Linked DNA regions of Lepisosteus oculatus. The protein of the gene in region 2 purifies or fractionates together with the protein of the main gene of each other region. This does not show direct contact. Links are inferred from orthologs where the notes say so. Each region holds a gene or a part of one and is shown on either strand. Other genes may lie near its edges.

Region 1 (3,751 bases), on a different chromosome or scaffold from region 2:
GCCAGTTTATTTTTGCCAGATCTGCTAATTAGCTGAAGAGGTGAGGAGTTTCTATTGGACAAAGCTCAGCTGTGGTGGGGGGATATGAGTACCTGTGTTTCCTATTGATCAGTTGTTTATCTCCGTTTCTCTATGGGATAAATAAAGTATTATCTATCTATATACTAAAGAGCTGTTTCTATTGGTCAAAAAGAGGAGGCGTCTATTCAATTCTAATTGGTCAGACAAGGATCTGAGCAGCCAATCATATCATTTTCTAGGTAACCAGTGACAAAGCTAGATGACAATCTTCATGTACTGGAGATGGTCGAAGTTCTTGAAAGTTTCGAACAGATAGGATTACAGAAAGACATTTTGTTTAAATTGAATAGAAGGCAACCTTCTAATCTCTGAATCATTTTTACGTCTTCATAAATTCTCTTAGCATTATAATAACCACAAACGAGTTAGAGCAGAGCTCTTATAATAAGTATAATGTTTGACAACAGAATCCACCTTTAACAGACATCGTTGTCTATAGGCATGTAGATATGTATAAAAGTGTTTCGTATGTGTATTGAATGGTACTTATTCCGATTGCTGTGGATGTTGTGCAAACTCGTCGGTTTCGGTTTGACTGCTAAGACAATTGAAAAGCGCGTCATTTACAATCTATGAAATGTTTAGAAGGGGTAAATCTGATTGCGTTTTTACCCCAGTGTCGTAGTTAACTGACCAAAGAAAACAATTTACTGTTAGCTTTTGTCTGCACTTGAAGCATGACGTTTTTTAAACATATAATGTATATATGTTCAATTATTTTAGGTGAAAATAAACATTTTCAAATATTCCCTGGGTCTGCAATGAATGAAACAAAAGTTTCAAATGTTGTTCAACTTAGTACATAGTACCCCTTAAAAAACAATTTCCAGGTTTTTTAACGTTTCCGAATTTACTTTGCATAAAACAGTACAATGGTCTTGTAATACAGGACGTTTATAAGTTTTTTAAATAATTTTTATTTATTTATGCATAAACTATAACAAAAATACAAATACAAGCAAGAGTGCATATAACATTTCAAGACAAAAAAAACATCGTCAGGGGGTATATATTACAAAATAAATTCAAATTATGAAAAAAAGTTTAAACAAAGATAACGTCCCCACTGCTTTCATATTTTTACATTTTTAAATAGTCTGTAGATATTCCTTTACATCCATTTTAAAATGCTTTAAACATATGATTCTTCCCAGACCACTTCATTTTGTGTATATAACGTGCCATTATAATTAAATTTATTACAAACGGTATTTTAGAATTGTTTTGGATGGGGCTGAAACTTAACATGCCATCTTTTTCTCCAAACAAATAACAGCTCCTACAATTTACTCCCCCTGTGCCCAGCCGCTTATTAACACCTCCTTGGGCTGCCTGTGTTACTGTGTTTGAGGAGGAAATTCAGTTACGTTCTCGGCACAGACCACGGCGATACAGTCTGACGAGTTTGGCCGCTTCTGCGTCATCAATCTGCGCCCGCCGCGGAGGGAGACTTTCTGAGCGGAGATGTAAGTTTGTGTGTGTTTTTTTTTTTAGAAACCATCTAATGCAATCCTCGATGTTATAGCGGTTTTAGGACACTGAATCTTGTTTTTATAAATTATTTAGTCGAAAGCAATGCATCTCGAAGTGATATTTCCTGTCGCGGTGTTGGGATTGTGCTTGATTTTGGAGCGGGGGGGGTGTTGCTTGAAAGCAGAGCTTTGAACAGATGAATGAAAACATCAATGGCGGACGAGTGGGTTCGTTTGCCGAGTACAACGGGGGGTTTGGATTGTTTCCACAAATGCACTGAAACTAGGAACATAAAACGTTAATTGTAACTTCGTCTATGAAAATGTAGGGCAGTTTCTAAAAGCTTTACGAACACAAAGCCTAACACGTCTCTGTACTGTCGACGGCTTTATTTAACGTACACAGTGAGGTTTGTGTAGTTCGTGTACACAAACCTCAGCTAAACCTCACAAAATTTCTACTTTACAGTTCACGTAATGCAGAATTCTCTCCATGTGGCTTAATGTGCTCAAGGATCAACAAATACATAAACTCTATAAAGGTAATTGAGATAATAACCCCCCTCCCCAAATCGTGCGTATTTAAGTAAGTTTTCCATTTACGCAATATGGGCTAATAATCATTTAAGATATATATAGTGGATTTCGCTTAATGTAAAAAACACACCGTGGTTTAACTCGCTACATTCAAATGGTTATCCTAGAAATTTGCGCATGGAGAGCTTAGAATTAGTTTTTCAGTGCCTCTTGGAAAATTGTCCCTAAACAGAGTTTTGCACAGATTTTCCCTGAGCAGCATTCTCTAAAGCCACTCGCAGTCTGTTAAATTGTACTTAAGAATATGAAACTGTTAAGACACTGTACGGTGCTTACCTTAAATGGGTTAATGCGTAGGTGCTGACCAAACAGCAATACCGTGTATAGTTGTACACATATTTTAATTATATATCGATAGTGTTGCCATCCATTTTAACGTTTTTGTTTGCATGTATTCTTTTTAGCATTTAAGCTTTTAACATTATGTATTGGAACATGTTTTGAAATATTCCTCCAGTTAGTGTCGCCTTTCTAGCTCGGTTTTTAACATTGGATTTTAGCATTTGCAAACTTGCCACATTAAACATTTAAGCCCTCTTGGAATGGTCTTTGGAACTAGTGGGGCTGCCACTTAAAAGGAGGTTTGTTTGTGTGTTTTGCCCAGTTGAGCCTTTTCCAGATTGGGCTCAGTTACTGAGGGTTGCAGGACAGGCCTAGCTCGATGAGAAGCATGCTGGTTTAAGTGTGCATGTCTTGGCTAAAAAAAAGGAGCAAGTAACGGTTTATTCCATGCTGAAAAGTAGAAATAAGAACCAATGTTTTGGCTGTTGAGCCATTTTCAGTTGTGAGAGAGGAAGTTAACTGGAATATAAGGCACAGGAGAACAGAGGACTGAGTAGGTGGGAATGAGAGAGTGTCCACACAAAGGCCAAGGTGTGAAAAGCTGAAATGATCGTACTGTACACTAACAAAAAGCCATTTTTTGGGGGGTGGGGGTAGTATGAGTAGGTGTTTGGTTTATTTGCAAGGTTATTCAAATAATGGGATTGAAGTTCAGCATATTAAGCTACTATTTCCTGCTTTAAGCTTTTAAGCATGTCCCTGAAAGTATTCATAGAGTGTTGGACTTGCTGGTGCTCTCTTGTGTTCATACAGGATCACGTAAGATGTCAGTGGCTCCCTATTGTGTTGTTTCTTGGGCCTTCCGAAGTTCAGGGCTTGAAGAGCTTCTTCACTGCCTGATAACTTGATCCTTGGGGCAGACGCCTCTTACAGACAGAGCACTTGTTCCTGAAAGGTGACAGTGCACACTGATGCTCTGCTAGGAACACAGTACAGGAACTTTACCCTCCTTCCCTTACAGTCCAGTTCGAAACGCTCCCCCTCAAGTCTTTCTCCCTCTCCCAGTGTGAGATGGTGAAATGTAATATTGTTAAACTTGACAGTGGTTTCTCTTCTCTGTTTATTGAAAAGTCATTTATTCTAACTGGCGGTGAAGATTTCCAGTTAACACAGGGTGTGAACAGTTTGAGTGCGAAACACCACTGACCTTTTACACAGTAAATATTCACACTTTGTGCCATGTAAAATAATACTGTCTAAATTAGTCATTTATACAGACATTTCTTCATGATGGAAAAGGTTTTTAGAGGTAGCATCTG
Region 2 (3,751 bases):
TCATGAGTTCACCTAAAGAAAGTTATCAGAGTAGAGGTTATGAATTCCCAATTTGAAGGTTAAGAGGTCAGCTGTTAGCGCACTGCTGTTGTATAAGCTTAGGCTCTCAGGCCTAGTTCAGTCTGAAATGGCCCACTGAATAAATTAGTACAAATATAAGTCACGTTGGACGAAAGTGTCAAATTGTGTTTTAAGTTTCTAGTTAAAAGTTTAATTAAATCTCAAATCAAATACATATTTCAAGTTCTTGGGTGAAAAAATACATTTGAAGAATTGTTATCGTTGTTAAAAAATGTTGTAAAATGTCCAAAAAAAAAAGGGTTTCGACAAGAAACATACTGTATACCGAATACTTCAAGTGTCGTTCACCTGGGATACCTCAAATTCCGCCCGTTTTCAGCGGGACTGCACGGAAATTTGTAAATGAGGTTTGATCTCCATCTAGTGGTAGATGTTGGTATCACATAATCTCCAAACTCCTGCAGTCGATAGTATGGGCGGTTGAATTGAAGGCACATAGAAATGGGATGCATTTTCCGGTGGAAAGTCAAAGAGCCTGTCCAACTCTGAAACAGATATGCCGCCTTCAGAGTGACACCAGCTGCTTTTTGATATTTCAAAAATTGGAAGCAAAGGTTAGTTTTAAAAGTTAGTCGTGGAAAGATCTGAGACAGCTCTGTAATAGAAGATAACGTCTCTTTCTGAGCAGAAAGTCGAGTGCACATAGTGAAACGTTTGAAAACTTCCAATCCAAAAGGCCAATGAGGTTGTACAAAAGCAACATCTGTGGTTAGACGTTAAAAGGTCATTTTCACGACACTCACGTTCTAAGCAATGTAGCTATTTTACACATTTTGTTTGAAAATTAACATCACCGACGCTTCTCCTGTTAGTTTATTATGTGAACAAGTTATTTTGATTATGATTGCTGGCTGCCCTAATTTTGGCGATAACGTTAGTTAAGAATAAAAACTAAACAAAAGCCATTGTAATACTGGCAATCATATAAAGCATATCCAGATTTGATCTTCGGCGAATAACAAAGTACCGCCTGGCACCCTTAACGTCCTAGTCCTCTGCGCCGTCTGACGCCGTCTTGCCTTGATGACGTAACGGCAATGGCCGCTCTCACTGTGTAGAGCAGGGTTTATGAATCTCTCCGATAGAAGAAAAAGCAATCCGAATATTTATTACTGTGTACAGCTTTACACTTGGACGGGGAGAGACGGGGTAGTAGTTACGATCACACTCCTGTCTCAAAAGACGTACAGGTTGGCAACGGTAACAGTCAGATATCTGCTATTTTTTTGTGATTATTTTTTTGAAGGGGGGAGGTCTGTATTGTTGATGAACAGGGAAGCATGGCTGCTTAGCAGATTAGGAAGGGGGCTAAAACCAAGAAGGTATTTTAAGGGGGGAAAGTAGTTGTTGTCCCGGAAAGGTAAGTTAAATCTGTTTTATAGGGATTTTAGGCGCTCTCATGATGCATCTGCAGAGACGGTGTTCTGCCTGGTTCACTGAAGGCAGTCGTGGGGCCTGCTGTCTTCCAAGCCGCTATATTCTTCATTGATTCACTAATTTATTTGGTGGCATAATAGCCCAGCGAGTGAAGTTGTAGGCAGGGGGGTAAATTCATAGGAGTGCGATTTGATGGTTTTAAACGAGACAATGATACCTGATCCTGCACTGTATAGAAAGACAATTTAAGGAAAACGAAACCCTTGCTATCAGGTTATAGACTAGAGTATTTATCACCTAAACCTATTTATGCAGGCCAATTTGTTTTAGTTCTTTATCGAGGTGTTTTGTTTGGATTTATGTGCAAATTCTAAATTGTACATAAAATTGTACTTTTCGTTTTAGTCCTACTCAACGGACGATCGTATTTTTTACACAGGTCACGTAGTTTTCGCTTGCTAGATTACTTGTAGATCGTGGCTAGACACTAGAATGTCTCGTTCTTGTACTAATAAAATGAGCTATTAGCATTATTCTGCAAATCTCAACAAATGGGAATGCAGTAGGGTAGCAATTTTTTAGACAACATCCTATTCTCTTTTTATATGTGCGTTTTTTTAAGTTTTTCACAGTAATCTAAATGAAAAAATAATAGATTAACAATTTAGAAACTAAACAGCTATTCTCTATTGGTCATATATATATATAATAATTTACTTTTAAGCTTTGTTGTTAAGCTCACTTTCCTCAATGGGCAGGGCTACAGAGGAAGACATAATGTGATAAATAATAAGAAAAGTTGACACCTTCCTGAAAGTGTTTTTGAATCCCAAGTAAAGACTATTAAAAGAGCAAATAAATTCACTTCATTCTTTAAAAGAAATTAACCAACTCCCACCTCTTACCAGGCTCTATACTACTTGAGTCTGATCCTGGAGTAGTAAAATTAGATGCTGCATTAAATAGTATACTAGTGACAAATGTCAAAAATTTGGTAACCGGATTTAATTTTCTGATATATCTGACAGGGGGCTAGAAAGTATATCTGATCTGTGGAGAACTAATCCTCAGTCAAAGGCTAGGCTTTAAAATCAGTGTTCAAATTAATTTGCTTTCCTTCTGATCTGTGTGTTTACAGTGTGACTTATAGGGTCTTTATTCTGCTCGTGTCTTCTCTGTAGAGCAGCCTCCAATGGATGCAACTGAAAGCCCCAGTCATGACAGACAGTCCCTGGAAGAGAAAGAGACCTCGGACAGCGAGATGCTGAAAGAGGACAGTCAGGAGGGTGGGGCGGAGTCGGACCTGGAGGATCTAGAGGACGAGGGTGGGGAGAGAGTGTCGGACCAGGAGGAGGAGGAGGAGGATGGGTATGGAGGGGAGCTGTGCCACGAGGTCCCGTCAGGTGCAGCATTGACGAGGGGGCGAGGGGTGAATTGCTCGGACGATGAAGAGGAGGAGGATCGAGTCAGCCAAGAGGCGAAGTCCCCCGACTCGGAGCCTGATCTGGGCCGGGAGAAGCTTTTGTCTTCCCCGCTAGCGGAGGAGGAAGAGGAGGAGGACGACGAGGGGGTGAAGGCAGCAGCTGCGGACAGCCGGGTAAGCGACCTCAAGGACGAGTCCTCGTCAGTGACGCGGGAGCTGGACGAGCACGAGCTGGACTACGACGAGGAAGTGCCCGACGAGCCGAGCGGCGCCGCCCCCGAGGATGAGGACGGGGACAGGGTGCCTGGGGAAGAAGGAGAGGAGGAAGAGGCAGACCCTGAGGATGAGGAAAAGAAGGAAAAGAGGAAGGACTCCCAGCAGCCAGAAAAGGTCACTGAGCCCAAAAGGGCAGAGGAGCCCAAGGCTCCTGAGAGGGGTCGGAGAGATTCCTTACGAGATAAAAAGAAAGATGACGACGATGGAGAGATCGATGAGGGAGAAATAGATGTAAGTGGAGAATCTCTTTTGTTTTAAGATCATCTTTTGTTCTGAACGTTGACAGCTCAGTGTTCTAAAGAGCAGGTGTTCATTTTATTTCCTAAATGCATTATTTTTCACCAAGTTTTGCTTTAAACGTGAACCTTCGGAGCAGATGAAGCTTCTGTACCCAAACTACTCTTTACCATGCTCAAGTAAAGAGCTTGTTTTCACACTGCAGATCTGGAGCAGCAACATGTCAGCCAGACTGCACTCTCCGGTCATTTTTATCCCTCGGCGTTTCTGTGTGGTGTTCCAGGGACCCCCAGATGATGTTCCCCAAAGCGAACTGGAGTCTTCCAGTGTTCTCCTTCATTGAATCAGTTCACTTAG
Region 3 (3,751 bases), on a different chromosome or scaffold from region 2:
TCGCCAAGTTAGGTGTCCATGGCCATGTCTCAAGATGTGACCCGCGGGCTGGAGCCAGGCGGACTGGACCAGACCGGTTTCCCCTGGCAACTGTGACCTCCTCCTCCTCCTTCTCTCTCTCTCTGGCCTGTCCTTCTGCTGGTCCACCATTCCAGCGAGCTTCACTAGCACAACCGATGGGTTACAGTGCCACCAAACATGACAATTAACACAACAGCTTGGCCATTTCACATATGACACAGGCTCGCTGTGTGTCACACACACACACACCAGGCTGCAGCTCGATTGCATTGGCTCCCCAGCAGGATCGGGAGCTGTTCTGGGTCTGGTAGGTGTGGGAATGCTGGGCTGAGATTAGTCACTGTGGGGAAGGATGTTTGTCTGTCTGATCAGGGCAGCAGAAAGCACGTCTCCGTCTCTGTTCTTCTCCCTCACTTTTTCTGTTCCTCTCCCACAGGGCCAGACGGGGGGGCAGCGGCTATAAATAACTGCGATAAGACAGCAGACGGGCGCTTCCTTAAAAAATAGCTCCCTTTCTGTGCCAGAAAGAGAAAACAATGGTGTGTATCTCGGGGGGCCGCAGACTCTGAGAAAGCATCTCCGAGCTGCAGACCTCCTGGAAACATTTTACACATCGTAATTCCTTCCATCTTCATACCCTTCCCTCGGCAAGGTTACGGTTTTAGCCTGGATTTTTTTTTTTGTAAGATAAAACAAAGAGACTAAACAGTCTAGCTGGGAAAACAAATGCGAAGACAAGAAGCACACCGGTTAGTAGAAATGAGCCTCATGTCCGGTTAGGTGAAACCGGTCCAGTTAGAGGACAGAAAGAGACAGAGCGCCGAGTCCCAGTTATAAGCAAACACCGTTTCATGAGTACAGCTGCGACCTAACGGATAAGGACAGGCGACAGCAGGGCAGGGAGACGAAGACAGACAGGGAAGTGGACACGGAAAAGACACGCGTGGAGCGGCAGGGAGAAGGGAGGGGAGGGAGAGCCCCGTGTGCCCGTCCGTACCGTCGCCTCTCTTGGGTCCTCGCATGCCCAGCTGGGCCGCCCTCTCGGAGGGCTGGCGGCTGAGCGACACCAGCTCCCTCTCGTTAAACCGCATTCCTCCTCCTCCTCCTCCGCCGCCGCGCCGCTACCGCCGGCCTGGCATCGCCCCGGGAAACCGGCGACCGCCGTCCGCTCCGGCTGCCACACGCACGCACACACCCACCCGGATCTCGGCGATCCCTGTCCCACTCGGGACAGCCGGACTCGCGTTACCAGGCGACGGGGTCTTGCGCGTTTCTCTCCGCAGCTTCTCACACCTGCCCACCGCTCCGCCCTGCGAGTCTAGCGGCCTCACAGGCAGACAGACCCCGGGGTCACGGTTTTCCACCGCCGGACCGGACCCTCCCCTGCGACACAGCTGCGCTCCGCACCCGGAAACGGTGGTCAGCGGTGAGGGTTTTCCGCGTTAAATACCAGCCATAGTAAAATACAGACTACGTCTTAATAGTCTCGTCCACTCGTGGCTAATTTTTCGTAGTGGCTGCCGTAGTCTTATTTTTCTCTTTTTTTATTCTTAATAAATGTGTAAACCAATTGCTATTGTATTCACTCCGTCCTTAATTCGCATTAAGAAAAAACTACAAATCCCAGATTGCCAAACGCTTTCTACGGTCGTGTTTGCGTGGCAGGATTTCTGGGACATGTAGTCAATTTTAAATGTCATGTGACAAATGTGATCTTGAACACGTTTTTGGTGCAATTATTTTTAAAACATACACAACTGGACAGTTTCTGAAATGACAGGTTTTGTATTTGAAAAATTGTCCGAATATGCCGCATTAACAAAATTAAATGAAGAGTTATTTTGAATTACTGGTCATGTCACAGCGAAGAGATTGTTAATAAAGTTTGGTTTCCCTGCGCATGTACTGTTTGACCGGAAGTTACAAGCGTGTGTTGTTGGTAAGGTAGTCGTTCGAAATGTTACTTATAATGTCTACAATACTTGTTTTAAAAATGAAATTAATACATTTTTACAACTGTAAATGTATGTGAATAGTTTGGGTGCTTGTACATGCTATTTAAGGTTTGCTAAGTTTGGTAGCTTTTAAGATAAATTTGTTTCTAGATTCGGGACACCTCGTTGTTACTTTTTAAAAATAACATTTCACTGTGAGATTTGTAATTATCTAATAAGGGAGTGTTCTTACAATGTAACCTTTGTTTTAGGAATTATAAAATTACTTCATTTTAACAAATAAGATATTAACAAATCCTCTCTGTAATCAATATTAGCGCCCTTCGATCTTCACGTAACTATTTGTGACCTTTCCGGTTTAAAAATTATTCAGTGACCGAAACGTCTGCGTGTAATGTTTTAGATTAAGTGTGAGAAAGGCATCGACTTTAAACTGTTTGTCCACGGTTTTTAATTAATTACGGTACGTTACAGATGTATTAAGTTGCGTTATCCATTAATTACTCGTTAATCACTACTTGTTGGTGTTCTGGCGGGGCTGTGCAGCTCCTTCTCAAACCCCCGATAGTTCACCATTAAATCGCGGGTTTCTGAAGCTTATGAAGTTTCTTAGTGATAAGATAAGCATCTGCTGGTTCTCTGGTTCCAACGATCCTCTGTTTTGAAGTTCAGAGCCCTGAACGTTAACCGCGGATTAAAACGCTGCTGTAAATGTGGATTAAACTTTAATTCAATGTATTTATAGGCCCGATCGTCAAGTCATCGTCTGTCGTCCTCCAGTCCTGCGCCAGTGGCCAGTGGAGAGCTGTGGAAAGCGAGCAGAGGAACTGCCCCCAGCTCTGCCGGAGGTCCCTGTTGTGGGGAAAGTTTTCCCACAGCCGTGTTTATTGTGAGTTCACCTTGTCCGTTTTTCAGGAGGTGTCTTTTTTTTTTTCAGCAGCCATATCACCCTGCGGCTCCCAGCTGGCAGCCCCACTGGAGCCCAGCAGGTGTGAGCCTGGCCAGTACCTGGAGGGGAGACTCCTGGGAAAGCTGAGGCTGCTGCTGGAAGAGGTGTTAGTGGGACAAGTAGGCCCTAATGCATCCCTCAGATGAGAAGTAAAACCGAGGTTCCGACTGTGGTCATTAAAAATCCCATCACATTTTTCAAAAAGAAAAATGTTACCCCAGTGTCCCGGCTAAATTCCCCCCTGGCCTTTACCCATCATGGCCTCCTGATAATCCCCCTCTCTGAACTGGCTTCATCACTCTGCTCTCCTCCCCACTGAGAGCTGGTGTGTGGGGAGCGGACTGGCGCATCACCCAGGTGGGGGTACACACTGGTGGTGGTGGAGGGGATCCCCATGACCTGTAAAGCGCTTTGAGTGGAGTGTCCAGAAAAGCGCTATAGAAGTGCAATGAGTGATTATTATTTTTCCTGAGTGGGGCGCCGCGGGGTCCCATCTGTGTGGTGGGTTGTTGTTGTTGTTGTTGTTGTTGGTGGTGCTGGACTGGTGGAGCAGTGAGAGTCTGACCAGTGTCTCCCCCCACCCCACCCCCCCAGGGCCCGGTGTTTTACCCGCGGCCGAGCGAGAGAGAGCGTGTCCCTGAGCCCGCGCGCCCGCCAGGATGGATTTCCAGCACCGGCCGGGGGGGAAGACGGGGAGCGGGGGGGTCGCCTCGGCGTCGGAGAGCAACCGGGACCGGCGCGAGCGCCTGCGGCAGCTGGCCCTGGAGACCATCGACATCAACAAGGACCCCTACTTCATGAAGAACCACCTGGGCTCCTACGAGTG

What was found.
Region 1: the proteins of zc3h18 (region 2) and RNA-binding protein with serine-rich domain 1 purify together in Homo sapiens (affinity purification with mass spectrometry; 3 studies listed by BioGRID and IntAct, with this or other methods). This does not show direct contact. The link is inferred for Lepisosteus oculatus from reciprocal best matches to the Homo sapiens genes ZC3H18 and RNPS1.
Region 3: the proteins of zc3h18 (region 2) and sf3a2 purify together in Homo sapiens (affinity purification with mass spectrometry; 3 studies listed by BioGRID and IntAct, with this or other methods). This does not show direct contact. The link is inferred for Lepisosteus oculatus from reciprocal best matches to the Homo sapiens genes ZC3H18 and SF3A2.

What each region holds. Positions count from the first base shown.
Region 1 is NC_090714.1:5,335,095-5,338,845, forward strand, and holds the start of RNA-binding protein with serine-rich domain 1, read left to right. Parts: upstream 1-1,437; 5' UTR 1,438-1,545; coding exon 1,546-1,547; intron 1,548-3,751. UniProt on the Homo sapiens protein: Part of pre- and post-splicing multiprotein mRNP complexes. Auxiliary component of the splicing-dependent multiprotein exon junction complex (EJC) deposited at splice junction on mRNAs.
Region 2 is NC_090715.1:14,060,635-14,064,385, forward strand, and holds the start of zc3h18 (zinc finger CCCH domain-containing protein 18), read left to right. Parts: upstream 1-1,090; 5' UTR 1,091-1,149; coding exon 1,150-1,281; intron 1,282-2,639; exon of another isoform or gene 2,640-2,644; coding exon 2,645-3,388; intron 3,389-3,751.
Region 3 is NC_090724.1:8,584,874-8,588,624, forward strand, and holds the start of sf3a2 (splicing factor 3A subunit 2), read left to right. Parts: upstream 1-1,357; 5' UTR 1,358-1,447; intron 1,448-1,882; exon of another isoform or gene 1,883-1,960; intron 1,961-2,721; 5' UTR 2,722-2,865; intron 2,866-3,519; 5' UTR 3,520-3,584; coding exon 3,585-3,751. Other genes in the region: plekhj1 (pleckstrin homology domain-containing family J member 1), read right to left, coding at 1,019-1,112. UniProt on the Homo sapiens protein: Component of the 17S U2 SnRNP complex of the spliceosome, a large ribonucleoprotein complex that removes introns from transcribed pre-mRNAs.